Linked DNA regions of Rhinolophus ferrumequinum. The protein of the gene in region 3 interacts with the protein of the main gene of each other region in a pairwise test. Links are inferred from orthologs where the notes say so. Each region holds a gene or a part of one and is shown on either strand. Other genes may lie near its edges. The genes, in order: NHLRC2, CABP5, CEP76 and SALL2.

The links.
Region 1: the proteins of CEP76 (region 3) and NHLRC2 interact in binary tests that used the Homo sapiens proteins (3 or more experiments, as listed by UniProt). The two-hybrid records come from large-scale screens. The link is inferred for Rhinolophus ferrumequinum from reciprocal best matches to the Homo sapiens genes CEP76 and NHLRC2.
Region 2: the proteins of CEP76 (region 3) and CABP5 interact in binary tests that used the Homo sapiens proteins (3 or more experiments, as listed by UniProt). The link is inferred for Rhinolophus ferrumequinum from reciprocal best matches to the Homo sapiens genes CEP76 and CABP5.
Region 4: the proteins of CEP76 (region 3) and SALL2 interact in binary tests that used the Homo sapiens proteins (3 or more experiments, as listed by UniProt). The two-hybrid records come from large-scale screens. The link is inferred for Rhinolophus ferrumequinum from reciprocal best matches to the Homo sapiens genes CEP76 and SALL2.

Annotation. Positions count from the first base shown.
Region 1 is NC_046299.1:14,139,225-14,147,069, forward strand, and holds the start of NHLRC2 (NHL repeat-containing protein 2), read right to left. Parts: upstream 3,005-7,845; 5' UTR 2,510-3,004; coding exon 2,332-2,509; intron 1-2,331. Other genes in the region: DCLRE1A (DNA cross-link repair 1A protein), read left to right, coding at 4,184-4,667. UniProt on the Homo sapiens protein: Required for normal embryonic development.
Region 2 is NC_046298.1:43,778,907-43,786,316, forward strand, and holds the start of CABP5 (calcium-binding protein 5), read right to left. Parts: upstream 3,012-7,410; 5' UTR 2,821-3,011; coding exon 2,758-2,820; intron 1,279-2,757; coding exon 1,248-1,278; intron 734-1,247; coding exon 590-733; intron 1-589. UniProt on the Homo sapiens protein: Inhibits calcium-dependent inactivation of L-type calcium channel and shifts voltage dependence of activation to more depolarized membrane potentials. Involved in the transmission of light signals.
Region 3 is NC_046302.1:5,540,055-5,547,792, reverse strand, and holds the start of CEP76 (centrosomal protein of 76 kDa), read right to left. Parts: upstream 3,016-7,738; 5' UTR 2,675-3,015; coding exon 2,612-2,674; intron 1,558-2,611; coding exon 1,402-1,557; intron 719-1,401; exon of another isoform or gene 677-718; coding exon of another isoform or gene 644-676; intron 404-643; coding exon 322-403; intron 1-321. Other genes in the region: PSMG2 (proteasome assembly chaperone 2), read left to right, coding at 3,266-3,322, 6,321-6,492. UniProt on the Homo sapiens protein: Centrosomal protein involved in regulation of centriole duplication. Required to limit centriole duplication to once per cell cycle by preventing centriole reduplication.
Region 4 is NC_046289.1:72,328,810-72,336,101, forward strand, and holds the start of SALL2 (sal-like protein 2), read right to left. Parts: upstream 3,015-7,292; 5' UTR 2,819-3,014; coding exon 2,752-2,818; intron 2,382-2,751; coding exon 1-2,381. UniProt on the Homo sapiens protein: Probable transcription factor that plays a role in eye development before, during, and after optic fissure closure.

The DNA.
Region 1 (7,845 bases), on a different chromosome or scaffold from region 3:
AAAGAAAAATAAAATCTCATTAATCTGTACTTTTGCAAATCACAATTTATAACCACTTGACCATGATTTACAATTTTAATTATGCACTATGAAGATTTTGTTAAACTAATAGTAAAGGTACAGCATCTTCATTCAACAAATTTAAGAAAGGAACCATAATGAGTTTGATACAAGAAAATAAAAGTAGCTACTAAAACAATTATACCTTTTTGAAAGTACAGTTGACATACAATATTTAATTATACATTGAAACAGATATTTGGAAATATTTTATAGAAACTGAAAGCCAGAGTTGGGTGGAACAATTGCTTAATAACAGCTAATGACTAATAACAGTAACTGGAATTACTCAATTATAACAAAATTCTAAAAAAATCTGCAAATGAAACTAACATTTCTGCCAATCCAACCTAGTGAGGTTTTAGGGTACAGTGAACTCTTAGTTATCCACTTTAATAAAGGGGATACCAGGTTAATTGTATACCAGGTCAAGTGATCATATAAAACTTCAAATTAATTAATGTATATTTTACATCCTAATTACAAAATACTTATGAATCTGTCTTCTAAATTTATTTTCTGTAAATAGTCAACAGCGACTTAGATGGGGGCAGGGAAAGTATTATTATATGTCAGTTGTTGTGTTAGGCGCTTATCAGGTTTAATAATAAGTTTTAAAATTATAATTACAGTGAATATAATTTTAAAAGCTGCTAAGACTTACGGAGCTCTCCTTTGAACTAAGAACTTTAGGTATATTAACTCCAATCCACATAATAAACTTGAAAAATAAATACTCATTCCTTTTTCTAAGTGAGCAAAGTAGGCTTGGAGAAGTAACTTGCTCAAAATCATGCAGCTAACAAATGGAATCACTTGGGATTTAATCTCAGGTCTCTCTGAATCTATCCACTATACCACTCTGGTTCCCATAAACGTGTTTAAGAAATGAACAAAGCATACTGTTTTTGAGATAGCGTTATGTTTATGACTTCTTGATTACAGTTTATTGATAAAGAAACCAAGAAAAAACTCATCTCTAGTATTCTGTCCTCAATAATTAGGTCCAGCAGAAAATTTCCCGTTGTCAAATACAAAGCCTGAATATTTTGTAACATTATTTACCAGTCACAGAGGTCAAATATCATGGTAATAAAATACACTCACTGTCAATACAAACAAGACTAGAAAATAAAAACATTGGCCCAAATCCTAGCTGATGACCTGCTTTTTTATAACAGTATACTATATAACTAACTTCTCACAAAGTTTTTTAAAAATGTGCACATATATATACAATCTTTTAAAGTTTCCTTGATAAGCACTCATGCACCCAATTCTTTTGTAGGAATTCCACAAACTTTCAAATCCAGGATAGGATTAATAATAGAAAAAAATAAGCACTTTTCAAGGTGGAAGCAAAAGGCTTGGAAAAGACATACAAGACTGTTGTCAGAGGTAAGGTTCCCATATACCTCCCGTTAGATACTGAACCCTGCCACATCCAACCAATTAACTATACATGTGGTTTCAGTGTCATGCCAGGAGACATGCCAACAGCACCAGGCAACACAATGACAGTCCCAACCAAAGAAGGTAAAGTAGGGTTTCATTTATCATAGCAAGATGTGCTTCACAAATAGCACTGCCGGGCATATCAGTTCCCTCACGTTCCCAAAACGTACAGAGCCAGCCGGGATTCAAACCGTGGAGATGGGCCACAATGGATTCACGGCGAAGTGTGGCACAAGGAAGAAACCGGCCAATCTGGGGTCTCTATAATCCGACTCTGGCAGATATTGGTTGTTAGGCCCTGGGCAAATGACTTACCCTCCCAGGGCCTCAGTTTCCTCAACTGTAAAATAGGGCTAATAATGAGTTCCTCAATGGGTAGAGAGGATTAAATAAGATAAACAATAGCCCTTCGGTGTTTAGAACTGTGTACCACATAAGTGATCACTAAATAAGTGATCAATAAATGCCAGCTAGGATGATGAAAGATGAGGACAATGACCATGTTGAGCAACCAGACTGAAAGAACAGGGTGGCGTCGACATTTCAGTCATTGCCAACTGGGGCCACTAAACATCCATGGAATGTCTACTTAGTTAACCCAAGTCCTGGATGGGACTCGGGATATAGGGACGAAAATGCAGGTCCCCACCCTCCGGAGGACACCTGGGAATTGCAGAGCCGCCGCTGAAGTTGGGCAAAGCGCCAGCCCGGGTGCAGCGACCCACCCCCGCCTCGCCCACCGCTTCAGGGGAGGGCACTGTCCCTGAGGAAGGGGAGGTTCCGGGAGGGGTCCCCACCCCGAAGCCAGCCCCTCACCTTCCGGGAACTCGGGCACTAGTAAGTCCTGCTCCCAGCCGTCCACCTTCTGCAGATACTGGTAGACCAGGTTATTCTTCTCCTCCTGGGTGACGGCGTCGAGCAGGGCGTACTCCAACGAGGTCTGAGCCGGGAGCAGGCCCGAGAGGCTGCAGCTCCGGGTTCCGGGGGCCGCCATGTTCTCTCCGGACAGTACAGAGGCGGCCGCCGGGCCCGCGGGGCAGGCTCGTTTGGGAAGAGAAGAAGCGTTTACTGTCCTTTGGTTTCAAAACGTCACTTTCACCGTACTCCCTCCACCAGGCCCAGTCCACACTAACGATACTTTTTTCTTTCGTAAGCATGCATTCAAATGCTAAAATACTACAAATCGCCGCAATTCCCGGGCACGGAATTAAACTACCGCCCCAAACCACCCCGCCCCTTCTGTATCTTCTCGCCACAGCCGAGCCTGGACATTCAGAACGCCAGATTCAACACGAAAAGGCCTCGGGGTTAGCGTTCTAGAAGCTCTAAGAGTACTGTCCCCCCACCTTTCACTTTGGAAATTAATGGGTTTTAGAACAAAAAAATAAATCCGTAGGACTTAAAAACGGGCACGGGTTTTTTTGTGGGTTTTTTTCGGCCTGTATAAAGCCTGGCTGTTAGACCGGGACCAGCCGATTCGACACAGCACTGGCGGGGGAAGCAGTTCCCGCCAAGGCAAGAAAGGTAAAGGAGTAGGGATATCCTTAAGGGAAAGGCTTTTTAAAGTTGGGGGTGACTGGCCGATGGCTTTGGCTTATACACAAATGCATTATTTCATCGCTCTGCAGGTGCTGAAAGTGCGGGCGAGAAGAGATTTGTAGCAGAGCTGGAGGAGGGGGGTCGCTGAGGGGAGCGGACGCAGCTGGAGCTGTTCCCTGGGGGTGCTGCTGGCAGGTGGGCGGATGCGAGGCTCTCCGAGCGCTGGGCTTCTGCCTTTAGCAGGGCAGGGCTGTGATTGCTTTTACGGAGCGGCTGTGTTAGCAGCTCATTCGCTCCCTGCCCTGGACGGGTAAGACCCCACTCTGTCCTCGCTGTCTCCTGTGTCCAAAGAGAAGGCAGAGACCTTGGGAGGCGTCGGGCAGGTGAACCTTGGTTTTGAGGCTGGTGGAGAAAGGGCTGGCCACCTCCAGGCAGACCGCCTCTGTGGTGTCTGGACTTAGGAGTGGGGCCTCAGTGCAGGCATGACTTCACACATTTGAATTTTGTTTATTGTGCAGTGTTTGTTCATTGCTGCTGGAGGAAGATGTTGGCCTGACCCAGGAAACTGAAGTTGTTGAATATCAACGAGTCACGGAGAAGAGCAATTACGTTTATTGAGAAGCACACACTTGGATTGTGGAGTGACTGTGTTAATTAGAAACTGAGGTAGCCATTTTACTGCTCAGAACACCTGCTGAGCCAGTTGTCCAGGGACTGTGAATTATTTGGGCAGTTGTCCAGTTGAAAGAGAATAGGAGCTTTATAACAATTTTACGAAGCTTGTTCTGAGATTGTCAGTACTTAATTTTCAAAGTATTACTGATTCTTATTTTTTTGAATCGAGTCATGGAAGAGGCCGAGGTATCTGAATGAAATAGTAGCCAAAATAGAAAACTTCTGAGATGCTACCCCTGGGGTAGGTTATCTTAATTTTATTGTGGTATAAATGAAACAGCAGGTGTTCTCACCTATAAGGTTTGTAGTTTGCCAATATATTCATTACCAGAGTTTTCGATTCCCATGAAGTTAGTGGGGTTTTTGTTAAGCTTTTTCTCAGCAAAAAAATTCCATTTAAAAATTTTGTAACAAGAAATAGACTCTCAATGTAATAAAGATTAGTGCTTCTTGAATGATAGAAATCATTTTTGCCATGTCAGAAGATACTTTTTTGGAAGAAGACATCTGGGAATACAAATCCAAAAGGAAAGTAAAACGAATACATCCAAATAATTGCTCTGAGAATATTCCAAAACCTGTTGGAAAAGCAACAGATGGAAAGAAACAGTCCAAACGAAACAGAAATAAAAGAACTGTGGAAGCAAAAGAGAAGATAAAGGACCCTGAAATGTGCCTTGGAGCATCAGATAATCAGACTTCTGTAGCTTCTAGTCAGAATTCTAGTTGTGGAGATGGTATCCAGCCGTCCCAAGGCAAGGAGACCACTCCAAGAAAGCAGAGTAGGACTCCCAAAAACAAACAAGTGTCTCCGAAGATACGCACAGTTTATGATGGCTACTGTCCAAATTGCCAGATGCCTTTTTCCTCATTGCTAGGTCAAACACCTCGATGGCATGTTTTTGAGTGTTTGGATTCTCCATCAGTCTCTGAAACAGGTAAGATTACAAAAAAGATGGTGGTCTTTAAATAGGCCTATATTAGGCCAGACATATCAGTCCAGTGACACAAGCAAGGCCACCAATAAACCAAGAGAGATGAGACACTGTTAAGTATAAATGACCCTAGAGGCAAACAAGGTAATTAATTGACTCTTAAGAAGGATAAAAAGATAACAGTTGATGGTATAATTATAAAGAATGTTGCAAACTTAAAAATAGTTTAAATGCATTTTGTTTCATGAAAGTCCCTAAACATCTCAATTATTTTTCATAAATGTTAATTGGGCACATACTATCCTAGATACATTCACTCTGTTGACTTGACTGTCACGACGATCGCACAAGGTAGGTGGTATTGACATTTTATAGATGTGGCTTCTTAAAAGTTAAACAACTTGCCCATTTTGTTATTTTTTATGAAACAGACTTTTAGAGAATTAAGAGTATAGTCCAGTCTTCTAAATATAGTTATGTGGATTCATCATGCTAATGTACAGAAAGAGGAACTGGGACTCTTAGGTTATGAAGATTCTAGTAAGAATGTGTCAGTTGGTAACTGAAGTAATGCTAAGTTTTTATCTTTTAAAATATATAATTAATGTCATGTTTAATATGTAGAAAATCCAACTTGGAGTATACGGAGAATGGTTTATGATGATTTGTATATTTTAAAGTTATATATACCATACATAGATTTTTAAATCTCAAAGAATTAAAATTCAGTAAAATAAAAATAATACTCAGTATGGCTTTCATGTTAAATATGATTCACAAGACATTTCATTATTAACCTCTAGTTATCATTTTAAAGTTCTGCATGAAGATGCAAAAGAACTCTTTTTAAAATTTGGCATTAGCCTTTCTTATACAAGTATAGCGAGTGGTAGCCTCATCAAATGCTAGTAATTTGCTTTTAAGTGGTTTGAATACCAGAAGTGGAAGTTGGAGTCCCATGGTGACCACCTCAGGGTCAAATATTTTATAGATAAAGCCACCTCAAAGAGATTTTTCTTTTTTCCTGACGAAACTCCTTTGTACAGAATCTCAGATGAACTCATCTTGAATTCAACTCTGTTCTATAACAAATACTTCTAGGAAGTGGTTTTAAGTTAAGTTTTAAGCAATGAAGTCTTCTAATTTAATGTAACATCTTTTTTTTTGGGGGGGGGAGATCATTTTTTTTTATAAACCTAGAAATGAAAATACAAGGGGATATGCCAAGATGGTTTACAGAATGTTTCTCCATCATAATGGTATGATAGGGAATGGTTTTCAGATTATTAAAGCCTTATTATTAACCAGTTTATCAAATTGAATTTCACATCTTAGAACAGAATCTAAATTATCCAGGGTATGGGCAACTATAATTAAGATTGTTGTTATTGTATACAGTGAGAATGTTAAATAAATAATGAAATCTGATTTGGTACAATTGTCATAAATCTGTTGCTTGGTAAGATAAACATATGTGTGAGAGATATACCAGTCTTCTTTATTTTTTATTGTCTGAGCAATAGTGAACTAGTGACACAGATGGTGTCAGTTTGTAGCACATGATTATGAAATACGTAATGCAAGCATACATGGATTTTGAAGCTCATATTTGTGAGAGTTACTTAGCGGGGACAAACGTGTTAGTCTTAAAAATTTTTTTGCGAAAAGATTATTTGAAAAGAAATTTAAGAGTATTTGATTTGAAAATAATAACTAGCACCTTGCAAAACCATACTGTACTACTGTTATTTTATGCTGAGCTTTTGATTTGCATAAAGATAGTTATTGTCCCAAGGCCTCAAGTAGGGCTGATGACTTTCTACTTATGTGTTAATTTATAGTGCTAATGCTGTTAAAGCTTCGTCTGTGTTTTGATCCTATAATACTTCTTTCTTTATTAAAATTTTCAGAGTGTCCTGATGGTCTTCTGTGTACCTCAACAATTCCTTCTCATTACAAGAGATATACTCACCTCCTGCTAGCTCAAAGCAGGGCGAGTAATGGTCCTTTCAGCAGTCCATCACCTGGGTCAGCTGGTAGTTTCAGTGAGACTAATTCAAGCTTTCTTTGTAGTCTTGAGGAAGGATGTTATCCAAATCAGAAACAAACTGAGAACTTACAAAATGTATCAGCTGATCACTTCTTGGTGACACAGTGTCTAAGAAAATCTCAGTTTCCAGCTGAAACAAATAAAAATATTTCCTTTTCAACAAATAGTGACACAGATGGTGTCAGTTTGTAGCACATGATTATGAAATACGTAATGCAAGCATACATGGATTTTGAAGCTCATATTTGTGAGAGTTACTTAGCGGGGACAAACGTGTTAGTCTTAAAATTTTTTTTGCGAAAAGATTATTTGAAAAGAAATTTAAGAGTATTTGATTTGAAAATAATAACTAGCACCTTGCAAAACCATACTGTACTACTGTTATTTTATGCTGAGCTTTTGATTTGCATAAAGATAGTTATTGTCCCAAGGCCTCAAGTAGGGCTGATGACTTTCTACTTATGTGTTAATTTATAGTGCTAATGCTGTTAAAGCTTCGTCTGTGTTTTGATCCTATAATACTTCTTTCTTTATTAAAATTTTCAGAGTGTCCTGATGGTCTTCTGTGTACCTCAACAATTCCTTCTCATTACAAGAGATATACTCACCTCCTGCTAGCTCAAAGCAGGGCGAGTAATGGTCCTTTCAGCAGTCCATCACCTGGGTCAGCTGGTAGTTTCAGTGAGACTAATTCAAGCTTTCTTTGTAGTCTTGAGGAAGGATGTTATCCAAATCAGAAACAAACTGAGAACTTACAAAATGTATCAGCTGATCACTTCTTGGTGACACAGTGTCTAAGAAAATCTCAGTTTCCAGCTGAAACAAATAAAAATATTTCCTTTTCAACAAATAGTGACACAGATGGTGTCAGTTTGTAGCACATGATTATGAAATACGTAATGCAAGCATACATGGATTTTGAAGCTCATATTTGTGAGAGTTACTTAGCGGGGACAAACGTGTTAGTCTTAAAAATTTTTTTGCGAAAAGATTATTTGAAAAGAAATTTAAGAGTATTTGATTTGAAAATAATAACTAGCACCTTGCAAAACCATACTGTACTACTGTTATTTTATGCTGAGCTTTTGATTTGCATAAAGATAGTTATTGTCCCAAGGCCTCAAGTAGGGC
Region 2 (7,410 bases), on a different chromosome or scaffold from region 3:
ACATGCCCAGAAGCAAACCCAATAGCAATTGTATCCCAGCTCCCATCTCAAAATCAGCTTTGGTCACCACCTAAAAAAAAATCCATTCTCTTTGCAACACTATTCATCAACATTAGCTCCAAGTCTAAGTTTATTTCCAGCATCAAATGCAGTTCCAATCTTGTGCTCCACTGATGAATCTTATTGGTGATGATAATCAACAAATACTAAGCTTTTATGGAGGCTAAGCCTTTGCCTGTATTATCATCTTTATCCCTTCTATAATCCCACAAAATAAGGTATGATATCATCTTCACTTGACAAATGGGGAAACTGAGACTCAAGAGTGGGGGTTAACTCCACTTTTCAAAATGACCACAATTAGTAAATAAGAAAACTGGGAATTGAACTCAAATCTATCTTTAAAAGTCACTCTTTTAACCACTTCAACTGCTGCCTCCCTAGTATATTCTGAACTGTTTCCTTCTAGACTTCCAGCCCCTCTGACCCTCTTCCCTATCTCCAACTCTATTCTCAACCCTAGATCCTTCCCAATTCCACCCTTAGCCATCCCCTAACCCCAATCATCCCTCCCACCCACCGGCCTCACAGTTCATGCGGATCTGCTGGCCAAGTTCAGTCAGTTCCATCTCCGTGGGCATGTAACCCATTGTCCTCATGAGATTCCCCAAATCCTTACATGAGATGAACCCATCTCGGTCCTTGTCGAACTCAAGAAATGCCTCCCGGAGCTCTGAAAGTGAAGAGGGAAGAACTTTGGGGGAACTTGAAACAGTCAGTGAGGAAGAGCGGCATCCCTTGAAACCATCAACAAGGCACAGACTAGAGACTTTTCAAAGCAGAATACATTTTGAAAAACAAAAATTTCAATGGAGCGATGTATGAATGAAATATGTTAGCAAGAGCAATGATTCCTGAGACCACCAAATGATAGCACGGAAGTCCTTCCAATTCTTGGGTGAAGTTATAGGAAACTTTGAAACCATCAAAAGAAAAAACTAACATTCTAAAACTCATGTGTCGCTCCTGGGTCTCTGAGACACTTGGGGATGGGTATGCCTTCTAAACACTTTGGGAGGTACCGACACTGCCATGAGAAAGAGTTCCACAAAATCACAGTTAAGTGGAAAAAGAGAGCGAAGTACAATTTTCATCTGAGGGGACTGACACTGAAATGCACAAAGAGACAGAGAGCAGACAAGTGAGTGGATGGCGAAGTGGGGACATTTGGGGGGAGAAAGTGTTACCTTCAATCTCATCTTGTCCCAGTGGTCTTTCCTGGAGAGGAATGCAGGGGAGAGAGAATTTGGAGAGAAGGTCAGGTTCCAACATCCAATCTCAACACGTCCCCACATTTTCCCAAGCTACTCCTCACCCCTTCTTGTTTCTTCTCTCATTCTTGCTTCCCTCTACCCATCTCTTCTTCCTTCCATCTCCTGACTCTCATTTCACAGCTGTTTGCTTCTCTCCCTCTTCCTCACCCCTCTCATTTCCTCTCTCCCATCTTTGAATCTTGACATCCATCCCATTGTGTGGGAAGTGGTCTTATAGGCCATGGAACTGATCTCCAGAGGAAGAAAGGGAGACTCACAATCACAGCTAATGTGTTCAGAATGCTGACTCGGTGCCAGGCAGCCTCCGCAATCATTTCATTTAAATTTCAGAACCGCTCTGTGAGGCCAATCCACATATCATTCCCAACTTATTTAAGAGGAAACTGAGGGACAGAGAGGTTAAGGAACCTGCCCAAGGTCACACAGCTCCTAAGTGACGTTAAATCGCTCCCCCGAGGCTGTACAGCAAGCCAGGCCCAGGGAACACTGGGATTTGAATTCAGGGCTCCGGACTCCCAGGTCAGAATTCTTTCTATTACACCCCAACGACTTTTCCCACCCGCCTCCATCCTTTCTGCCAAGAGTTAGAATCCCTTTGTGAGGGACCAGTGTCCAGTGGCATCCAGGATGATGGGTGCCAGCATGACCGATGCCTAAAACCTTCAAGAATTTCCAGTTATTGTTGCCTCCACCCACTCCTGCATATGCCTGAAGGGTCAGGCTTGGCTACAAGGCACATCACCTGGGAAATTCCACCAACCTCTGGTCCCTTTCACCCCTTATCTGCCTTTATCCTTGGAACCTTTCCCCTAGCTTATTATTCCCTTCACCCTAAATCCCCTCCCTCCCTTATTTATTTTATTTTATTGGGGGGGATGATCTAAAGCCTAACAATTAAACGCATGCCCACTGAAATCAAACAGAACTGGCTCTGCCACTTACTAATTGCACAAGCTTAAAGCAAGTCACTTCATGACTCAGAGCCTGTTTCCACATCTGTAAAATGGGAATGAAAGTATTACCACCCTTACAAGTTCTGACAATTAAATGACATCAGGAATGCAAACCCTTTACACAGGGCTGGGCACAGAGCAGTGACTTAATAAGTGGCAGCTAGTGTCATCATCATCACGACTATAGGTGTCCACAGAAAACAAATCATGATGCCCGTCAATAATGACGTCATCCCAGTTTTCCTTTTTTTCTCCCCTTCACCTCCCCCATTTTGCTCCTGACTTCCAATTTCACCCTCACCCATTTCACTGACCCACGTCCTCACCATGTCCCTTGGAATTCTACCTTCTCAGCTCGTGCCCTCCCCACCTGTCCCCCTTGTTGCATTGCACCCGTCATGCCCCTTCTTTTCCCACATCCCAGCTCCCTTTGCCCTGCCCGCCATCCTTCCCACTGTCCCCAACCTCACCTTCTGTTTCTCAGCGATGCCTTTTCTCAAGAAGATGCAGGCAGGGCCCACGGGGAACTGCATGGAGGGGCAGGGCAGAGCTCACCAGGCACCGGTCTCAAGCTGGCCCCCCTCCTTCCCGTCCCCTTGGTGACTCAGCCTCCTTCTCTTCTCTATCACTTCTTTGCCAACTCTTCCTGCCTCTCAGCCTCTCCCTTGGTGCTCGTGTCATGGAGCTGTGACAGCTGGGTTGGAAATCTCCACTGGGGTTGGAGAGGGATCAGAGCGCTTCCTGCCTCCCCATCTGGTTTGAGTGGGACGGGAGGGGGAGCTGGTTTCCGGCTCTGACCTTTTTTATCCCCAGAATGGAATTGGATAGTTTCAAAAGTGGGGCTTCGAGCCCAGGGCACGTTGAGTGCTCGCTCGAAGCCTGGCCTCTGCTGGCCCTTGGGCGTGTGAAGATGGAGCGGGCACGGCCCCTGACCTCCAGGAGCTTTTGCGTAAGACAGGAGCGCGTGCCCAGGAGCAGGACACGGGACCTCCGAGACAACCTGACTTCAGGAAGGAAGACGGCAGGGAGGTTAAGGAAGTGGTATTTGTTCTTCCTTGCTCATCTCTTCCTACTTCAGGGAGAGGAGCAAGACAGGCGTCCATGCGGGTGCGGGGGTAGGGGAGGGTGAGAAGTCATGTGATATCCGAGCCCAAGGAGGCGATGAGGGTGTCCACACTGGGGGCTGGTTGGGGAGGGGACTGGGGACCATCAGTTTGGGGAGCCCGATTTCAAAAAGCGGTGGTGGAGTGAGGCAGGAGTCCCACAGAGAGGGGCCGCTCGGCTCACCGTGGGGGCCTGGGAAGGTGAGGGTGAACCCGTGGATGTGACAGCATGAGCTCAGTGAGGAGGGCATCCCTACGTAGGTGTGGTCGCCTAGGGTGGGGGTTTGTCCTGAAGACGCCCACTCACGGAGGCAGCATGCATAGGGTGCTGAAGCCAGATCAGGGCGAGAAAGGCGTCCCCACAGGGGTGCGATGACAACGCAGGAGGGAGATTGCTTATCTGTGGGGAGTATATTAAGGACAACGGGCATCAGGGCTGTCACTGTTGGAAAAGGGAGTGAATATAAAAGGGACAAAGTCGAATGAGCTCTGTGGTGTTGGGCTGGAACTGGAGGCACGGGTGTGTCACCATGGACTTCGGTATAGAGAGAGGGATAAAAACGAACACAGCTGTCACTGCCTGTGCAGGGACACGTGACCGTCCGTGGTCCAGCTCTCCAAGAGGACACAGAAGCTGTGAGACCCTGATACAATGAGCACCCCTCGCATCCAGATCTTGACTTCTAAATACCATTCTCCGGAGAAAAAGAACCAAGACTCCTAGGAGAACTGCTGGTTCCATGTCTGGAACAGGACAAGTGTAAGATGAGCCTAGAACACCCTGTGGTGCCATAAAGCAAACGTGCTCAAAGAGCGATGGGGACATGTCAGAAGGACACAGAGGTCAACTTGAAGTGCCACTGGCCATATCAGGGACCACATTTGAAAATCAAAATAAATAATAACAAATTACATAGGACAGGAAACCAGGAGTCCATACACACATAAAGGGAAAAGTCTGGTAATATTTGCATGGCTCAAAGTACAGTACCTCCTTTATACTAATTTCAAAGGAGTCACTTTATAGTGGGGAGGAAACCAGGCAGTAACTCTTTCTCAAATGATTAAAATGAACACGAGTAATGCGACAAATCAAACTTATGCACTTTGATTCATATGCAATTATGAATTATTGCTCCTGCAAACCTCCTTCTTGCGTACTTTGCCCGGAGCCAGGTCCAAGCATCATTTCCCTTGATGGCTTTCGACAATCGTTATAAAGAAAAGGATTTCACCAAGGGGATAGTCTGTGCTCCCGGCAACACCAGGGTCATCTCTGCAGAATCCGTGTACTCCAGCCATCAGCGTGACCTTTCACTCCCAGGCCTTCCTGTGTCACCTCCCTGCCTGGAGATAAGGTATCACATCCTTGCAGGGGCCCACGAGGATCTCAAGTCACTATAGTTAGTGGCAAAAGGTAGGGCCTTCTGCAGACCGCTGTGCTCAGACTCTGGTCCTCCATTTCCTAGGCAGTGACTTATATTCCTGTGCTTCATCTGGTAAATGGGATAACAAAAATACCCACATGGGGCTGTCATGAGGGTCCTTTGTGAATGAGGACGTCCTTGCCCCGCCCTGGCAGAGGGGACATGGTAGCCATGGCTGCTTGGGGAGGTGTGTTTGCAGGGGCCCTGCAGGGCTGTGGGAAGAGCGTGTCCCAGGCCCAGCTTTCATCAGGAGACCCAGTTCCACACCTAAGGGAACCACGGGGATTCCCAGACATGCAATATTTAACATCTAATCAAACGAGTATTGTTTTGCCTTAAACATATTATTTGAACTTCATAAATATGGAAGCACATTAATTTGCCAGTCCTCTAAGGCAGAGCTCTTTCAGTTAGGAAAGCTTTTAGCTGAGAAACACAAGCCATTTTAACAGTGGCATAATCACCCTTCCCTTCCACCCCCATGACAAGCCCAGTTAGCCAACTGCTGCCCTTGGTTCACTGGTTAAAGGTTTGTCAGGGCTACTTTGTCTGTGACTCTCCAGGCTTGGTTCTCATGATCACAAGCTGGCAGCCCCAGCTCCAACCATCATATCCATAGTCGGGGCAGGAAGAAGGGAAGGGCTGCCACCACCAAGTCTCCTTTTTGATCGGGAAAAATAGTACCAACCACATGACAGGCACCGCGCTAGGGGCTGGGGAATATAAGGATGAACAAGACACATCGGCCACTGCCTGCCCCTCAGGGGCAGGTCCGGAACACTTCTGGGGATTCTGAGGTCAGGCCTCGCCACCAGTTGGTGGGGGGCAGAGCTGGGAGTCTCACACAAGTCGCTGCGCTGTCTCCCAAGAGCATGGAGCCTGAACCCGACAGCTGTGGGGCTGGAGCCAGACTGCTGCGTCAGACCCCTGGCGCTGGCACCCCCAGCTGCGGCCGGGGTGAGCCCCTGCCGTCCTGGGCTGTGACAGTGCCTATCTGGTTAGGTCGTGGGGAGGTTACATGAATGCATGTACATACGAAGTTGAGACTGCCACCATCCAACAGCCACCACACATGGGGCTACTGAAGAGAAATTTAACTAAAAATAAATGGAATAGCGGGTTCTCAGTCACCGGCCACATTTCACATACTTGCCAGCCCCAGGGGCTCGTGGCTGTCACGCTGCACAGAGCGGAGGTGGAACATTCCATCACTGCAGAAAGTTCTGTTGGAAAGCGCTGCTTTCAGCAGTTCCTGGCACACTGCCACACGCTACCAAAGTGGGAGCTATGAGAGAGGAGCCCAGAGCCCGCACGGACCCTTGACGCTGAGCAGGTGATCAATAATTATTTATTGAAAAACATAACCAGATGAATCCCAGGCCCCCGCTGAAACGAACCACACACACACACACACACACACACACACACACACACACACGTGACCGCACACCGGATGTGCTTAGCCTTGGCGGCGCCCTCTTGAGTCCCCCGGGAGGGCGGGGCCTAGTAGAAAAACCCTCCGGGTCGGAGTCGGAGTCTGCACTGTGCTGCTTCTGAATCTGACTTTGCTTCCTGTACAAGATAGGCCACCTGAGAGGGGAGGGGGGAGTCAGAATCCCGGGGCTGCCCACCCCACCGCTCCATGCCAATCCACCTCTCCAGGGAGCGGGTCCGGCCATGCAAGCTGCCCCTGGGTGAGCCCTCCCCCGCTTCCGAGGGCCGCACCTGGGCACTGGTGGTGGCCTCCTCCGGCTTCTTGTCCTCACGGATGCGAATAAACCGAGGAAAGCGAAGGGAGATCCCCTTCTCACTGTCCACCTGGGGGGGGGGGGAATGATAGGACCGCAGTCCTCCCGTCAACGTGCCCCTGCTCCCGTACCTCTGGCCTGTTTCCACAGTGGGGCTAAGCGATGGGTTGTTGTGTAGGTTGGTGCAAAAGTCATTGCTGTTTTTGCAATTGTTTCTAACCTTTTAAACAGCAATGACTTTTGCGCCAACCTAATAAATAGGCAATAAAGAGCTTGGGACCGTCCCTGGTGCATAAGTGCTTAAGACATGCCAGCTGCGATAGCTGTTATTAATATGAGGGCTGAGAGGCAGAACAGCCGAGTCAGGGAGTGGATTCTGGAACCAGACTGGGGTTCAAATCCCAGCTCCCAACTCCTAGGAGCCGTGAGACCCGGCACCAGTTTGTTACCCGACCTCCCTGGGGCTCTATTTCCCCATCTGTAAAATGGGGCTGTTCAGTATTTTTGTGAGGAGTAAATAAGTGTACACAAGTGATGTGCTTATTAGCAGTGCCTGCTGCACATAAGGCTTGATACACGCTGCTCCCATCACTTGTTACCCAGGACTCTGACTAAGGTAGAGCACGAGTGAGAAATTTCAAAAAAAGAAATGAGATTCAAAAATATGAGATCCACCTTTAAATGGATGTCCACTTTTCACCAGAGAAGCGCATGCTAGATTTTGAAGGATCAGAAGAGATCTCAAAGGAAGATTAAATGTGAGATTTCCCACTCTCCTGCAGGAGAGCTGTCCTAGTGCTGTCACAGGGCAAGTTTTCCCTGATCCTTCAGCTGGTACTGAGCAC
Region 3 (7,738 bases):
CTCAATTATCTCAACTCAGCAAAGTGTACTTGTGAGATAATTACATAGCCACTAAAAAAACACAGTTGTAAAATTTTTATAAAATATATTACTAAAACATGAGAAACAGGCGGTCCTATTTTTGCTTCCACTTTGCTATACATTAAATCTTCTGATATCATGCAAAACAGAATTGAAGCTTTTTGGATTAGTCACAAAAATATAAGTATTTCATTCTGGAAAAAAAAATTGAAGTGTTTTCTATCAAATACCAAACACTACAGCACGTCTATTCACAGTACTATCCACAAGTAAATTAAGGTTAAAAAGAAATACACATACTTTTTTTTAACAACGTTGATTGTTTATCAGTAAAACAAACTGATTGTTTTGGAGAGGAAGGAAGTTCTTGATCAACACTGTCCTAGAAAGGCAGAAAAATACAAATCAGAAAACAAAAATTATAATTAAGAAATGCCAATAATGGAACTAAGAACCAAACCAAAAGAAGATAGAATAAAGCCCCTTATTTTCCTCAAACAGTTCAAATAATGAAAAGCCTGCAAAAAAGGTGATGCAACTAGTCAGTCCTACAGTTTAATGTTAAGGAACTAAACTGTCTTCAAGCAATGTCCACAGAATGCTAAAAAAAAATCCTTAATACCTCAAACAAGGTCAAACTTTCTCTAAACCTCATATAACATTTGGCTTATGATTGTACCATGAACTGATTTTAATAAGGAAGTGATATTCACACACAGCAGAAACTGTTATTAGGTCAATTTTTATACCAAATGGGTTTACAAACCTCAAAAACCAAAAAAACGAGGCTGTATTAAAATACTTATCCCCTGGTGTACTATGAAGTCCATCCAAATTCTACATTATATTTCCCAGGTATTGAGGTCACAATTTCTCATTATTGCCTCATTTTCAAAAGGCCTACTTACTAATTTGTACACTGAGAGGGAGGCTATCATTCCATTACTGACCTATTTGTCTGAAAAGCTTTAAAGATTCTTATGCAGACAATTATTTTCTTAAAGGAATTGATAATTTCTTAATCATAGATAATATTGTCCCGAGTGTTTATTTTAAAAATAAGCCTAATTTTTAAAATTATAGAATATTAGTGAAAAACAACTAGGTTATGTTTGACTAAAATATATATACTTAAAGTTACAGACTTAGAGAATAACAGGAGAAAATTCTGTCACTGTAGAGAGAGAAGAATGGTATATATGTACAATTTCATTGATACATAATCCTACATTGAATCTACATTCAATTGTAGAATTAGTTTATACTTGAAACAAGGATATTACTAGGCAAAGCTACCATATTTTGAAGTGGTTTTACTAAAAGAAGAGGCCCCAAAATATGCTTAGACTCTCAGATTTTCTCCTCTACAAGCTTACTCACAGTAACAAAATTAAGTTCTTTCATCACATCGTCAATGATTCCACGACGTCTAAGAGCTTTGATCAAATCTTCTGTTGATAACTGTTGTTGATCAGGTGCTAATTCTTCCCGTATTGTCTCAGCAAGGATTTCTCTTATTCTGCCATGGACATCCATCTACGTAGAAAACTCACATTACAATTCACATTACAAAGCAGACAAATATTGCCACTTAGTTCATTTCTTTCTAAAATACTGACAAAGAAAAGAATAATAGGAGAGTACACTAAAATCGGGAAGGCTTCTCAAACAAATAATAAATGTAAAATTGTTACCAGAATTCAAAGATAATAAAGGCGAGATTTTTAAAAGGAAAAAAAATTTTTTTAAATGAAAACTTATACTACAAATTCTAGAAATAATCTCTACTGGTTATCTACTACTTTTGTTACTATTTCCCCACAAATAACATTCAACCAAAACAATCTTTGGAGAAAGAGTATAGTATAATCAAAAGAACACAGACCGAGGGGAGGGGATCAAAGTATGACTTTCACCTTACAACTTATTAGATGTGATCTTGAGTTAACTTATTTACCTTTTATGAATCTGGAAAAAATAGTGCCGTCAAGGTTATTGTGAGGCTCAGATAAAAGACGCTAAACACTTAGTACAAAGCCTGGCATCCGAGTGCACAATAAACGGTAGGTTTTATTACTTCAGCTTAATTGCATTCAGTTGAGCACCTCAAAGATACAATGTTCTTCTTGAGCTCTGAAGTATCACAAATGCTTTCATTACAAATCCTTACTAAATTCTTTCATAACTTCTTTAAGAATTGTCAATTTGGTTCAATATCAATGACACCTGAAGTTCCACCCTTAAATTAATTCTAATTTCTGACCTTTGAATATAAACCTGCTCCAAACACAACTTATACTCGATATGACTTCCAGAAGTCATTGGTACACGCTTCATTTTCACAACTGTCCCATAATACTAACGCCGTTCTATCACCTCAGACTCTTACTAGCACTTTCTGAGCTCGTTCTCATTATCGAGCCTAGACAGTTCCTCTGGCTTCAAACCCGAAGCTTTGCACATCCCACGCTCTGCGTCTCACAGCCTTTGCTTGAGTCCCCAGCAAACAGGTGCCACAGTCGGCCGGGACAAGGGACACAAAGCTGGACACTTGGGGCCACTGGCGGGAAGAGCGCCCGCGGCCCCTCACCTTGCTCAGCTGCTGGTGGATAAGCTGCTTCAGCTCAGAGGCTTTCTCCGGAGGCAGCGACATGCTGGGGCTGGCGCCTCAACACGGATTCCCTTCGCTTCAGGTGCCCCAGCCGGCCCCAGAACGTCAGTGTGGGGTGAGCACAGAGCCGGCGCGACCACTTTCCTCGCGCAGCTCCCGCGGGGGCGCGACGCCGCATCAAGCCCGGCGCTGAGCGTGAGGCGGGGACGTGGCTGCGGCGGCGCCCAACTGTCGTTTTCAAACGGCAGCGGACAACCAGGCCTCGGAGCTGTCCCCCGCTCTGCCTGGTCAACTCCACCCACTCCTCTTCCCTCGGGGTCCCCACCTCGTGACCTCAGCTCAGCCAAACTCCTTGCCTTGCTAGTGTCTCTGGATGCGCGCTCTCCGCTCCCATTTCTCCCTCCCTCGAGGTCCCTTTCTGTTTTCTGGAACGGCAGATACGTGGACGAGCCTCTCAGGACCTCGCGCCGAGGGCTCGAAGGACCCAGTCCGCCTGGCCCCGCCCTGCCCGGGTCGCGCGGGGTTCTAGGGGCTCGAGCGTGCAGACCTTGAGAGCTCGTGGTTCTCGCTTTCTCGCCGCCCCGGTTCTTCCCAGGCCGGCACTCATCTCCTTCTTCCCACTGCAGTGCGACCATGTTTGTTCCCTACGGAGAGTCGGTCCCGGATCTCGCGGGTTTCACCCTCCTGATGGTGAGTCTCCAATTTCGCGAACTGGCTTGAGGCTGCTACCTCTCGGGAGGCGCCTGCGGTACCGCCACCCCAACTCGGGATTTTTCGTCCGGCCCTGTGAGAAAGCGAGTACTTGTTTCTATTTCGAGTTTTAAGCCTGCGCCGAAAATGTAGAGAGGTTGTCGCTGGAGGCGGCGGTCCAAATAGAACCTTTGTTGGCGCTATCACCAAACCTTGTATCTAAGTCTCCAGTTTGTGGTCTTTGTTGACTGTACAACGTAATGTGTTTGATGTTACCGATACGTTGTACATATGTGGTGCGGGACGTTCTCTTTGCTTTTTATACTAGAAAATCTTTTTTCAACTAGTTTTAGCGTCATTCTTAAGCTAGCAAGTCAGTCATTAACCAGAACATTACAATAGAGTAACAAGGCAACTTTTGCCAGTAGCTAACATATGGTTCTATCGCTCTTAAAATTGTCCATATTAATTCATTGTTTCAATAAACATTCTATGATGTGACGATATTAGAATAACACTAGGCCCATGTTCTCAAAGAGTTTACAGTCTAATAGGAAACACGTAAATCAATAAAGGCAATATATGCTAGGATAGAAGTTTTAAAAAGATACAGAAAGGCCTTAGGACTTATTGGGGGAGGGACACATGGCTCTGTTCAAAGCGTCATATGTGGAATCTTAAAAAAAAAAAAAATAGAAAGAAAGAAAAAAAAAAATAGAAAGAAAGAAAAAAACACCAAACTCATAGATTACAGAGAACAATTGGAGAGGTAGAGTGGAAGGGTGGTTGGGTGAAATGGGTGAAGTAGTCAAAAGGTACAAACCTTCAGTTTGCTAAGAGAGTAGATATTAAAAGTTTTTATCACAATAAGAAATTGTAACTGTGGTGATGGATATTAACTAAACTTATTGTGGTAATCATTTCACAGTATATACATATATCAATCATGTTATGTATCTAAAAGTGATACAGTGTTATATGTCAAAAAAGAATGATGGTAATAGAAAAATGACTTTTGGTCCGTTTTCATTGTAATGCATGAAATATCAATGAATGCCAAAATTAGTGTGCGATAGTGTTTGAGGAAGGGAATTTTCCATAATTTCACAGTATCTCCCTGAAAAATATTTATTAATCTCAAAATGGAAAAAGTACCTTTGCAGGAGCTACCTGGAGAAAAAAATGAAAAAGAAAAGCTTCATAGAGAAAGTAATGTCTAAAAGATTATTGGTGGTAACCTTAAAAAAGTTATCAGTGGAACAGTGAAGAGGGAAGCATATTAAAGTGGGTTGAATAAATGGGGAAGAGGTGGAGACGTGTATACGTATATATTTGTTCATTAATTCAGAGCTAAAGTTCCTGCTTATGTTTTAGTGGACAACCGTGGGGAATTTTGGCTATGGAAGGACACCTGGAAGTGAGGTGGTAGCTAGGGGAGTGTGTGGGATCAAGAGACGGTTTTTTACAAGGAAAGATATTAGAGTATGTGTATATGCTGATGGGAAGAATCCAGTAGTGAGGAAAAGATAGATGATACAGGAAAGTGAGGATCTAACGAAAGTAGCAAAATCGTTGAGAAGGGAAAGGGGATTACAGTGGATAACCAGCAATCAATGACAGCAATGAGAAGTGGGAGACCACTCTGAAGGACGCAGAAAAGTATGCAAAGGCCAGGAAAAAAAAATAGAATCAATAAAATTTAGATGTGCGTTAGGTATGGTTGGTAAAGGAAAAGGAAAAAGTGTCCTGGTTTAGGTAATTGGCTCAATAATTGTTTCTCTTTTCTGAAATACAAAATATGAGGACAATTTTGGGCAAAAGTTTAATTTTGTACATGTTGGATGTGAGTTACCTGTGACATAATCATGTGGAGATACACATTAGGCTCTGGAGTTTAGATGAGTATTCCAGGCTGTAGCTACAGATTTGGCAGTTGGACTATTTGAAGTCATGGGGTGTGTGTGTGTGTGTGTGTGGTGTTTTTAGTGTGAAAATAAGCTCACTCCAACATTTAGGCGCTAATAAAGCAAACAGAAAGAGGCCCCAACATCACTTTTGTTCCTACCTCACTGCCCTCCTTTATCTCTTTCAGGTCTATAAAGCAATTCTTTTCTTGACCACCCTATTTAAAATTGCAGCCAAACATATACACACACACTGACAGTCCTTTAATTTTTCTCCACTGCACTTAACACTGTATATTTTACTGGGGTTTTTTTTTGTTTGTTTGTTTACTGCAGGTAAACTACTCTCCCTAGAATGGAAGCTTTACAAAGGCAGGAACTTTTGATTTACATTCCCAGTGCCTAGAGCAACGATTGACATATAGTAGGTGTTCAGTAAGTGTTAAATCTGTAGTCTCAAAGGTGGAGGAGGTCCCTGCTGGTACCTTGCTTGCAACTACAGGAGAGTCAATATGTACCATGTTTCCCTGAAAATAAGATCTAACTGGACAATCAGCTCTAACGTGTCTTTTGGAGCAAAAATTGATATAAAACCTGGCCTTATTTTACTATAATATAAGACCAGATATGATATGATAGGATATGATATGATAGGATATGAGATCCGAGGTACCGGATCTCATACAGCGGTACCTCGGTTTTTGAATGTGATCGCTCTGGAAGACCGTTGGAGTTCTGAAACGTTCGAAAACAGCCAACAGCTAGGCCTCAGGATGTTGCACTCAGCGGAAGCTGCGTGACATGTTCAACTTTCAAGGCATGTTCAAAAACTGAAGCATTTGCTTCTGGGTTTACGGCGTTCATAAACCGAAATGTTCGTCAGTGTTTGAAAACCAAGGTACTACTGTATTTTTGCTCTGAAAGACGCATTAGAGCTGATTGTCCGGCTAGGTCTTATTTTCAGGAAAACAGGGTAGCTATGATGCGCCTGAACATAACATTCAATACTAGTGCTGTGATTATTGTCTTCTGTCCAAACTTTAAAGTGCTGCTAATGCCAATGCCTTAATAAACACTCTTTAAAATGATTTCAGCCAGCAGTATCCGTTGGAAATGTTGGCCAACTTGCAATAGATCTGATTATTTCTACACTGAATATGTGTAAGATTGGTTACTTCTATACTGATTGTCTTGTGCCAATGGTTGGAAACAATCCATATGCAACGTCAGAAGAAAATTCAACAGAACTCAGTATAAATGCTGAAGGTATGTATGACCTCCGTATATTGTATTCTACTACAAAGTAGAGTTGTTTTAAATTAGACATAGACTCTGCAGATACGCTTTTGTAGCAAACATGGGTAAGCATCACTAATACCAGGGAAGGGGAAAAGAGAATTTCACTGAGCTCAGTCCTATGTGTTTTGTGCTACCTCATCTAAGCTTCAGTCATCCTCTCACATTATTATGGAATCCACGATACTGTAGTATCAGTAGTGCTTGGAGAGATTGAGTTGCCTAATGCTGTAGTGTAGGCTTTTCCCATGCCATAAAGTGCCATAATTCTCATTGGACTATCAGGCTTGATTAATTGGAACACATTTTATATTGCACTGATTACTGTTTATTTATAATGTGGAATTGCTGAGTAAGGGGAAAGCTGTTGATCATGAGCAGCTAGTTGCTTTGTTTGATGGCCAACTCCTCTGTTGGCCTTAGTCTTCTTTCACCATTTTAAGGTCATAGCCAGAGCTGATAGAGGAGCATGAAAAACCATTCATGCAGGTGATAGAGGAGCGTGAAAAACCATTTAGTGGTGGATTGAAAGACAAAGAAGTATTTTGTTTTTTGTCTGTCTTATTAACCATGTTGTTAGCTTGTGATAATGAAATACACTTTCAAGAAATAATATTGAAATTTCTGCAGGAAAGATGGCTTTATTAATAAAAGATGGAATTTCAGTTATTGCCTTAAAGAATAAAGGACTAAAAATATTAGCACTACAATTTATATATTTCAACTAATGATAACAGTTGCCATTTATTATTACCTATAAGTTGAATACTATGTGTATTTACATGTACTAATTTAATCCTCACAAATACTCCGTAGGTAGTTTTATAGATGAGGCAACCATTGCACAGAGAAGTTAAGGTCACATGATTAATAATTGGTGTAACTGAACTTCTAATCAAGGCACTCTGGCCCTTGAGACCTGCCTCTTAAGCACCATGCCCCCTGCTAATGCAGCTTCACTCTAGTGGAAGACCCAGTGGATTTCCATTAACACAAACTGACAGCACGTCAATTGGTATAGTTCTTTAATCCATTTTATTCTTTTTTAAGATGAGATATTTTGAAATAAATTGTAGATATCATGACACTTCACCTCCAAATGTGTAAGTATGTATCACTTATCATTTAAGAACATTTTCTTACATAGCTAAAATATCACATTTCACAATATTAGCTTTCTATACCTTGTCCATATTCACATTGGCCCAATTTACCC
Region 4 (7,292 bases), on a different chromosome or scaffold from region 3:
AGCTGTGGCTGCTGCCACCACTGTCCCCACTTCCTCCTCTGCCCCAGATGCTTCTTCCGAATCACCTCGCACTGATATTGCCTTCTCACCTCCACTCTCTGAACCTCTTCCTACCAGAGAATCTTCATCGGTTACATCTTCGTCTTCTTCCTCGTCCTCTTCCTCCTCTTCAGACAATTCCTCTTCTGGGGATGGCTGGGATGGCTGCTGAGGGAAACTCCCTGCTCCAGAGACTGTAGACTGCTCAGAGCCATTCTCCTGGGCAGCTCCCCCGCCTTCGGGGAATGTGGTACTACCGTTGGGGATTTGGCCCCCCAGGTGCATCCGAACATGCTGCTGCAGAGTAACAGCGTTGGTGAACTTCTTCTGGCAGATGGGGCAGGAGTTCTGAGCCCGGGCAGCTGGGCTGGCCTTGTGGCCCACAAAATGTGCACGCAGATTGCCTCGTGTGGAGAAGGCTCTGCCACACACTTTGCATTTGAAGGGCCGCTCACCTCCATGTTGGCCATAATGCAGGCGCAGTGCTCGAGGACAGCTTAGCACCCGGAGGCAGATGACACACTGGTTAGGTCCGGATGAGGCTGAGGATGAAGCTGCAGGGGCAGAGGTGGTGGGGGCTCCTGAGGCAGTAGAGGCCACTGCCACAGCTCCCTGTCGGTCAATCTTTTCTACCAGTTGCTGTAGCTTTGATGTCTCAGAGGGTGAGGTCCCCAAGGGCTCTAGCACATAGGGGAAGGGGAAGCTCCCAGTGGATTTAAAGTGGTTGGTAAGCAGTGCCCAGCTGGGTAGTGAAGTTACCAGCTTACTTAGCTGCATGCGGGTTGCTGTGCCACTTTCTGCTACCCCGGAGATGGCGGAGGCCTCAGTCCCTGGAGGGGTATTTTCATCAGCTTTACTCTTTGGCTCTACTGCTTTCATGAGCACAAACTTATTGAAAGCAGGGAGCGCAGGAGCTGTGGCTGTGCCTGCACCAGTGGAGAGTAGTGTCAGGCTTTCTGTGGCACTGAGTGCTGTGGTGGAGGCCACCAGAGGCTTGCGTTCCACACCTCCACCTGGCATGGCTGCCTCCTCCTCAGCTTTCTCTGGTGGCACAGACATACCATAAGGCAGGCCGCTGCTGGTGATGACGTAGTCTAGGTGCTCTGGCACCGGGTGAGGATTCATCTGCACGTGTGGGTACTTCTCACGATGACGGTGGAAATGCACTTTGAGGTTGCCGCGGGTGGTAAAGCGGTTGCCACAGACATTACATTTATAGGGCCTCTCACCTGTGTGTGAACGCAGGTGGATCTGCAGGGCACTGTCACTGCCAAATACTTTGGCACAGAAGCGGCATTTGTGTCGTCCACCGGGTTTCTCCAAGGGACCCATCACTTCCCCATAGCCCAGCTCACCACTTCCATTCTTTGGCTTCAGGAGCCCTGGGGAGGCAGCGGCCTCGAGGCCTCGGGCTGCCCCAAGACACTGTGCTGCCAGTAGTCCCGTGGTGCCTGGGAATGCCAGATGAGGCGAGGCAATCAGCTGATCTGTGCTGCCTGGCAGGGCTGGGGAGGGGGCAGGCGTGGGCTTGTGGCTTCGCCCAACCCCTCCAGCAGAAAAAGGGTGCTGTGACCCCAGTGGATGATAAAGGTGGAAGAAAGCCTGCTTGGGTGTTTCTGCCCCTGAGGAGGAGGAGGTGGAGGAGGAAGGTGCCAGTGTCTTGCCAGTTTGGACAGGCTTGATAGGGCTGAAGAGGGGAAGCAGGGGCTTGGTGGAGGAGGCAGTCCCTGTCCCAGGTAACTCTGAGGGACTGGCAGGGGCGCCCACTGTCTGGCCTAAGGATCCAAGCAGCAGTACCTGCCGGCAGATTTGCTCAGTCATCTGCATCTGATGGATCTGCCGCTGCTGCAGCACCCGGAGCTCTTCCAAGATCAGAGGGATGTTCAAGTGGCCGCTGCCTACACCTGGGGGCGGAGGTGGCGGTGGAGGAGGAGGGGGTGCAGGGGTGGATTCTGGAGGTAAGGGGGTTGCTCCCAGCTTGGGACTGGCCAAGATCAGGCCCCCACCTCCCCCAGCTGCTGTACCTGTGGCAGCGACCAGAAAATGCCCCGCAGACTCCTCTCCTCTCCGCTCTGGGCCCCAGGTGGGATCTGTGGGCACCGAGGACCCAGAATCTGGGGGGTTGCTGTGCTCTGCGTCCATGACCTGGGGACTGTTGTGGCCCTCAGGCCGGGGTTCAGAAGAGGTCGAAGAGTTGTTGGGGTTCTCCTGGCCCCCAATTATCACCATTACAGGGGGGTCAGTAGAGCATGCATTCTGGTGGGCGAGGAATTCAGTTGGGTCAGTGAATTGTGCGCAGCATTTGGCACAGACTTGGGGGTGGTCCTCCTCGCTAGCATCACCTGGGGAGAAGACAAGGAGAGAGCGTGGGTGGCGCGGTTGGAATGGGTATACGGAGGCTCTAATTAACAATGAGCCCAGTAACCGCTAGTTGGGGGTGGGGAGATGAGCTCACCATCAGGCCAAGCGGAAGGCTAGAGCTCAGTCCTGACCCTCCTTGATACGAGAACCCCAGCACGGGGGGGAGGGAGCACGCGCAAGCTACTGCCTTCCTCTGCTCTCCCCCGCCCAAACCCGGGCCACAGGCAGGCGCAAGGAAGAGGGCCTATGCAGAGAACCGTGCGTTTGATCCCCTTCACCGAAAGTCCTTCCTCCCCTCCCCCTGCGCGTCCCTTCGGCCCCCACCCCTGCCCGGGCTGGGCCCTACCGCACCTCCAAGCTCCGCCGGCTCCCCGCAGGGACCCCCGAGAAGAGAGCTTCTCAAGGCTTCGTGCGCCATGGTCGTGGGGGAGGTGGAGGGCTGGGTGGAGTGGGAGACAATGGGTTTGGGGATTGGGGGAGGCGGCGGTGGCCGCCGGGGATGCGGCAGCGTCGTACCCAGCGGCCCAGTCTGCAGAGATGGAGATCGGTGGAGGCAGCGGGGGCAGGGAGCCGCGGAGGAGGGGGAGGGGATCGAGGAGGCACAGAGGAGGGAGGAGCCAGAGCGAGAAAGCAGGGAGAGGGGAGATGGGGGAGGAGCTGCTGGGGAGGGGAGTTTGTGCGGAGGAGCTGCTGGGGAGGGAGGCGGGAGGGGAGGGGGATGTTTGGGGCGGGAACCCAGGGCCTAGGAGGGTTTACCGAGGCTCAGTGACAGGTGCTGTGGGGTGTGGTGGGGGTCCATCTTTCCTTGCTCTCTGCCAGCTCCCCCTATCTCCAGATGTCTTTGCCCAGGCCTGCCCAGCCAGGGAGCTCAAGGGGGCAAAGGGGGAAACACAACCCTGCTCAGCAGAGCAAAGCGACAGGCTTCTCCTATTTTTCTTTGGATAAAGGATCCGCTGAGCCTGTAAAACATGCTCTCCAGAGAGGGCGGTCCGATCTCGGAGGAGAGAGCCAGAAGGGAAGCCCCGAACATCCACCCCTCATTAACACCCCCATACACCCCAAGTTTTGTCCTGTCTTCTTCACCTCCATTCCCACCCTAACCTTACACAGACCGCCCCTTCTATCCCCCAAAGAAGTTTCTTCGGGTGGGAGGCTGGAAGGTAGAATTTCCAAGGAAGTCATTTCTGGACTCCACTCTGCAAGTCCCTTTACTCAGGGCCCCTCCTCCTCCAGAATAAGAGCTGAATGCAAGTTACTCCACAGATCACCCACCCCACACATAACTTATAGAGTTCATGCTTATTTAAGGAGCCATCTTCTATTTAGAACCCACTTCTCCACCCTTCTTCCTTCATTGTCCTTCTCTTATGGACACACACTGTCACTATTAAGGACAGTTGGCCTTGGGGAGATGCTAGCCTCCAGAGGCCCACCTAGCTCTAACCTTGGGGGAGGGGAGATCCTCCTGAAACAATGGGGGAAATGCAGCAGGAGCTTCCAGGCAGCCTGTGTCTACAGCTCCTTTCAGCTCCAACCTGGTTTGAATACCTAGACATAACTTAAAACCTGCTGACAGCCACCTCCTATTGAGGCCACCTCCTATTCAGAGACCAGGTACTCTGCATTTCCGTTCTACCTTGAAATGAATCTTAATGGATTTCCCACTTCATAAAAATACTTTCTTTTACTTACAGGAGGTAACCACAAGTCCTTAGTTTGGTGGTTTTCCTGGGCACCAGTAAACCCATGTTGTTCTAATCTCAGTTCTATTCTTGCCTGGCTGGTAAGTTGAGGCATGGTGATCAGTCAGAGCACACTATGCCACCATTGCCCTTTTTGTAAAATGGTAATATTGTAGCTGTGCTATCTTCCCCAGAGAAATATTATAGGGACAAAAACTTGAAAAACTCTTCACAATATTAGTATGTACATATGGGACTTTAAATTTTGGGGGGAGTCCCAAATATAATGGATTAGAAAATTTACATTGTCAGTGGCAAGACAATCAAAATAAACTGAAATACACATATACTAAAATTAGATGTTTGTCATATTGCTTATTAATCTTACTAATTTCTGAGGTAAGATGTTGGCAAGGGTAGGGAGTCTTTTTCGGAGGGAGCTGAAACAAGCCAGTATTAGGAACATCCACTTCACTTTTCAACATAAATTTTGCTATCTTTTTAAATTAAAAACATTTTACTGACTTATGCTTTGAAACTTCAGATAATCATAAGGATCTTAACATTGTGAATGATGACTCTGAAACAGATGAGCTCCAGGCCTGACCCTTACAGTGAGGGCATGGAGGACCTATTGTAATTATGGCAAGTCACAGGTTAGTGCAATGTTGTGGATTTTTACACATACGGAAATATAAGCGTGGAGAAGTTAAGTGACTTTCCCAAGTCCGCACAGTAATTGAGTGAAGGAAGCATTCAGAATTTTGACTCCGGTCCAGTGCTTTCTGAAGCACACCTACACTGTGACTTCCTAATGCTAGAGAAAGGGCCCTGTGTGGTTCCTACCTGTCATTTGCTCTCTGGCCTGAGTAAGGGCGAGGGAATCAGATGGAAGCTTTCTACTGAGCATTTGTTAATTAGCATTGAACATTTGATATCAAGTTGCTGTTTTGTCAAGTCTTCCGACAAGAAAAGAAATCCTTTTCTTTTCATCTTCTCATGGGAAACACTGTCCCCTTTCTTGCTCTTTAATGAAACTTGCTTTCTGATGCGTAATTTGATCTAAGCTCTTCTTTAAGGTAAATTTAGTCCCTGGTGAAAGGTGACGGATCAACAGCCACCTGTAAGAGGAACCCTCTATTTCTCAGCACTTTGCACTCACTGCCTATCCTGAAAAGGGGGGCAGGATTCTTAGGCAGACACAAATGAAGTCAAAAACACTGGAATAAACTAAGCTGGTAATGGTGTCCCTAGATAGCAGATAAGGTGAGGTAAACTATCCTGGGTCACATGCAAAATCTGGGATGGATGTAGGACTAAGACCTGGACATGCTTGTTTAAATTTATAAAGTGCAGAAATGACAAGGGAAAAGGAAACCAGGTGGCTCTTGAAAACCTAGTGGCCCACCAAACTGCTGCTTTAGGTTAGGGAGAGAATGACTGGGGAGAACAAACAGGAAAATAGGGGGATAGTGCCCAGCAGGGTGGTCTAGTCAGACAGTAGTTCTCAAACTTTGCTGCCGATTACAATTACCAGGAAAGCTTTTAAAAATACCGATGGCCAGGCCACACCCCAGATCAATTAATTCAGAATCCTAGAGGGTGAGACCCAGACATCAGTATGTAAAGCTCCTCAGAAGATTCCACTGTCCAGCCAAGGATGAGAACCATAGTATCTATCAGAGTACAGCCCTTCCCATCAAACCTTCCACCCCGCTCCTCACAAGTCTTATCTATGCTCAACCCAGCCAAAATTAGGGCAGAGGCAAAATGAGCTGCTTGCTGCGAAGTCCTCCTGTCAGGCTCCCTCTCTTCTCTGTCTACAGCCACACTTTAGCTCTCTTGTATCCTGCTTCCATGAACAGAATTTGATGATTTACACCTGTCTGTGAGTATAAGGGACTATATTGCATTTCCCAATGTGCATCTTGAGCCACATTTCTAATTGTAAGATGAAAAGCTTTGTTCTACACGGAGTTCAAGCATTTTCCAGCCGTTAAAGAAACAAAACACATTATGTAAACACCTGCCTAAACTTACTGTTAATGTTGGACCAACACTAATTGGTAGTGTCCATAATTATGAATTGATTTTGTAACTGCTGTTGTAGACTACTTCTAAGGGATAATATCCCATATTCTCTTCCACTCCTCTCTCCTAAATACACATACATAGTCCTTTGTCACCCACGGCCTGTGCAATACAGTAGACAAACAGACACAATGATTTGTACATCCAGTGCTAAGTGACAAAAATATATTTGTTTCCAGTATAGGAATATCTACGATCAAACATTAAAAAGTTTGTTTGTTTGTTTTAATGGACATTTTTCTGACATCAAAGGATTCAGAACTTCACATGAAATTCATACTATTTTGGAGCTGGAAGGGACTTGAGAGATCTGACCCTTTCATTGAGTGAGCACAGTGACTGAGAGTGCCAGCTCTGAATCAAAAAGACCTGAGTTAAAGTCCCAGTTCTAGCACTTTATCTTCGTGACCTTGGGAAAGTTTCTTAATCTATCTCAGGCTTGGATTTCTCATCTTTAAAATGGAGATGTGGCCATATAAAGAATGAATGCTAACACATGCTACAACATGGATGAACCTTGAAAACATTATGCTAAGTGAAATAAGCCAGACACAAAAGGACAAATTATTATATGCTTCCATTATATGAGGTACCTAGAATTGATAAATTCATAGAAAATGGTGGTTGCCAGGGGGTGGGGGGAGAGGAATGGGGAGTTATTGTTTAATGAGTATAGAGTTTCAGTTTTGCAAGATGAAAGAGTTCTGGATATGGATGGTGGTGATGGTTGCACAGCATTGTAAATATACTTAAGGCACTGAATTTTACATTTCAAAATAGTTATAATGGTAATTTTTATATATACTTTACCACAATAAAAAGTTTTTTTAAAAATGGAATGGAGGTTATAATAGGAATTTGGGAGGAATAAACAAGAGGCAATACATACAAGGCCTAACATAATACCTGACGAATAGTGAATACTCCACAAGTATTAGCAATGAGTATAATTATTTAAAGGAAAGGCCAAAGCTGAAGCCCTGGAAGAAGAAAGGACTTGCCCAAGGACACATAGCTTCAACGTCCAAGCTAGACTGAAAACCAGATTTTCTGCTTCCTTCTTCGGTGCTCTGTCTACCATGCCTGAGTTACTTCTATCCACTCAGAAGGGTTCTCTTT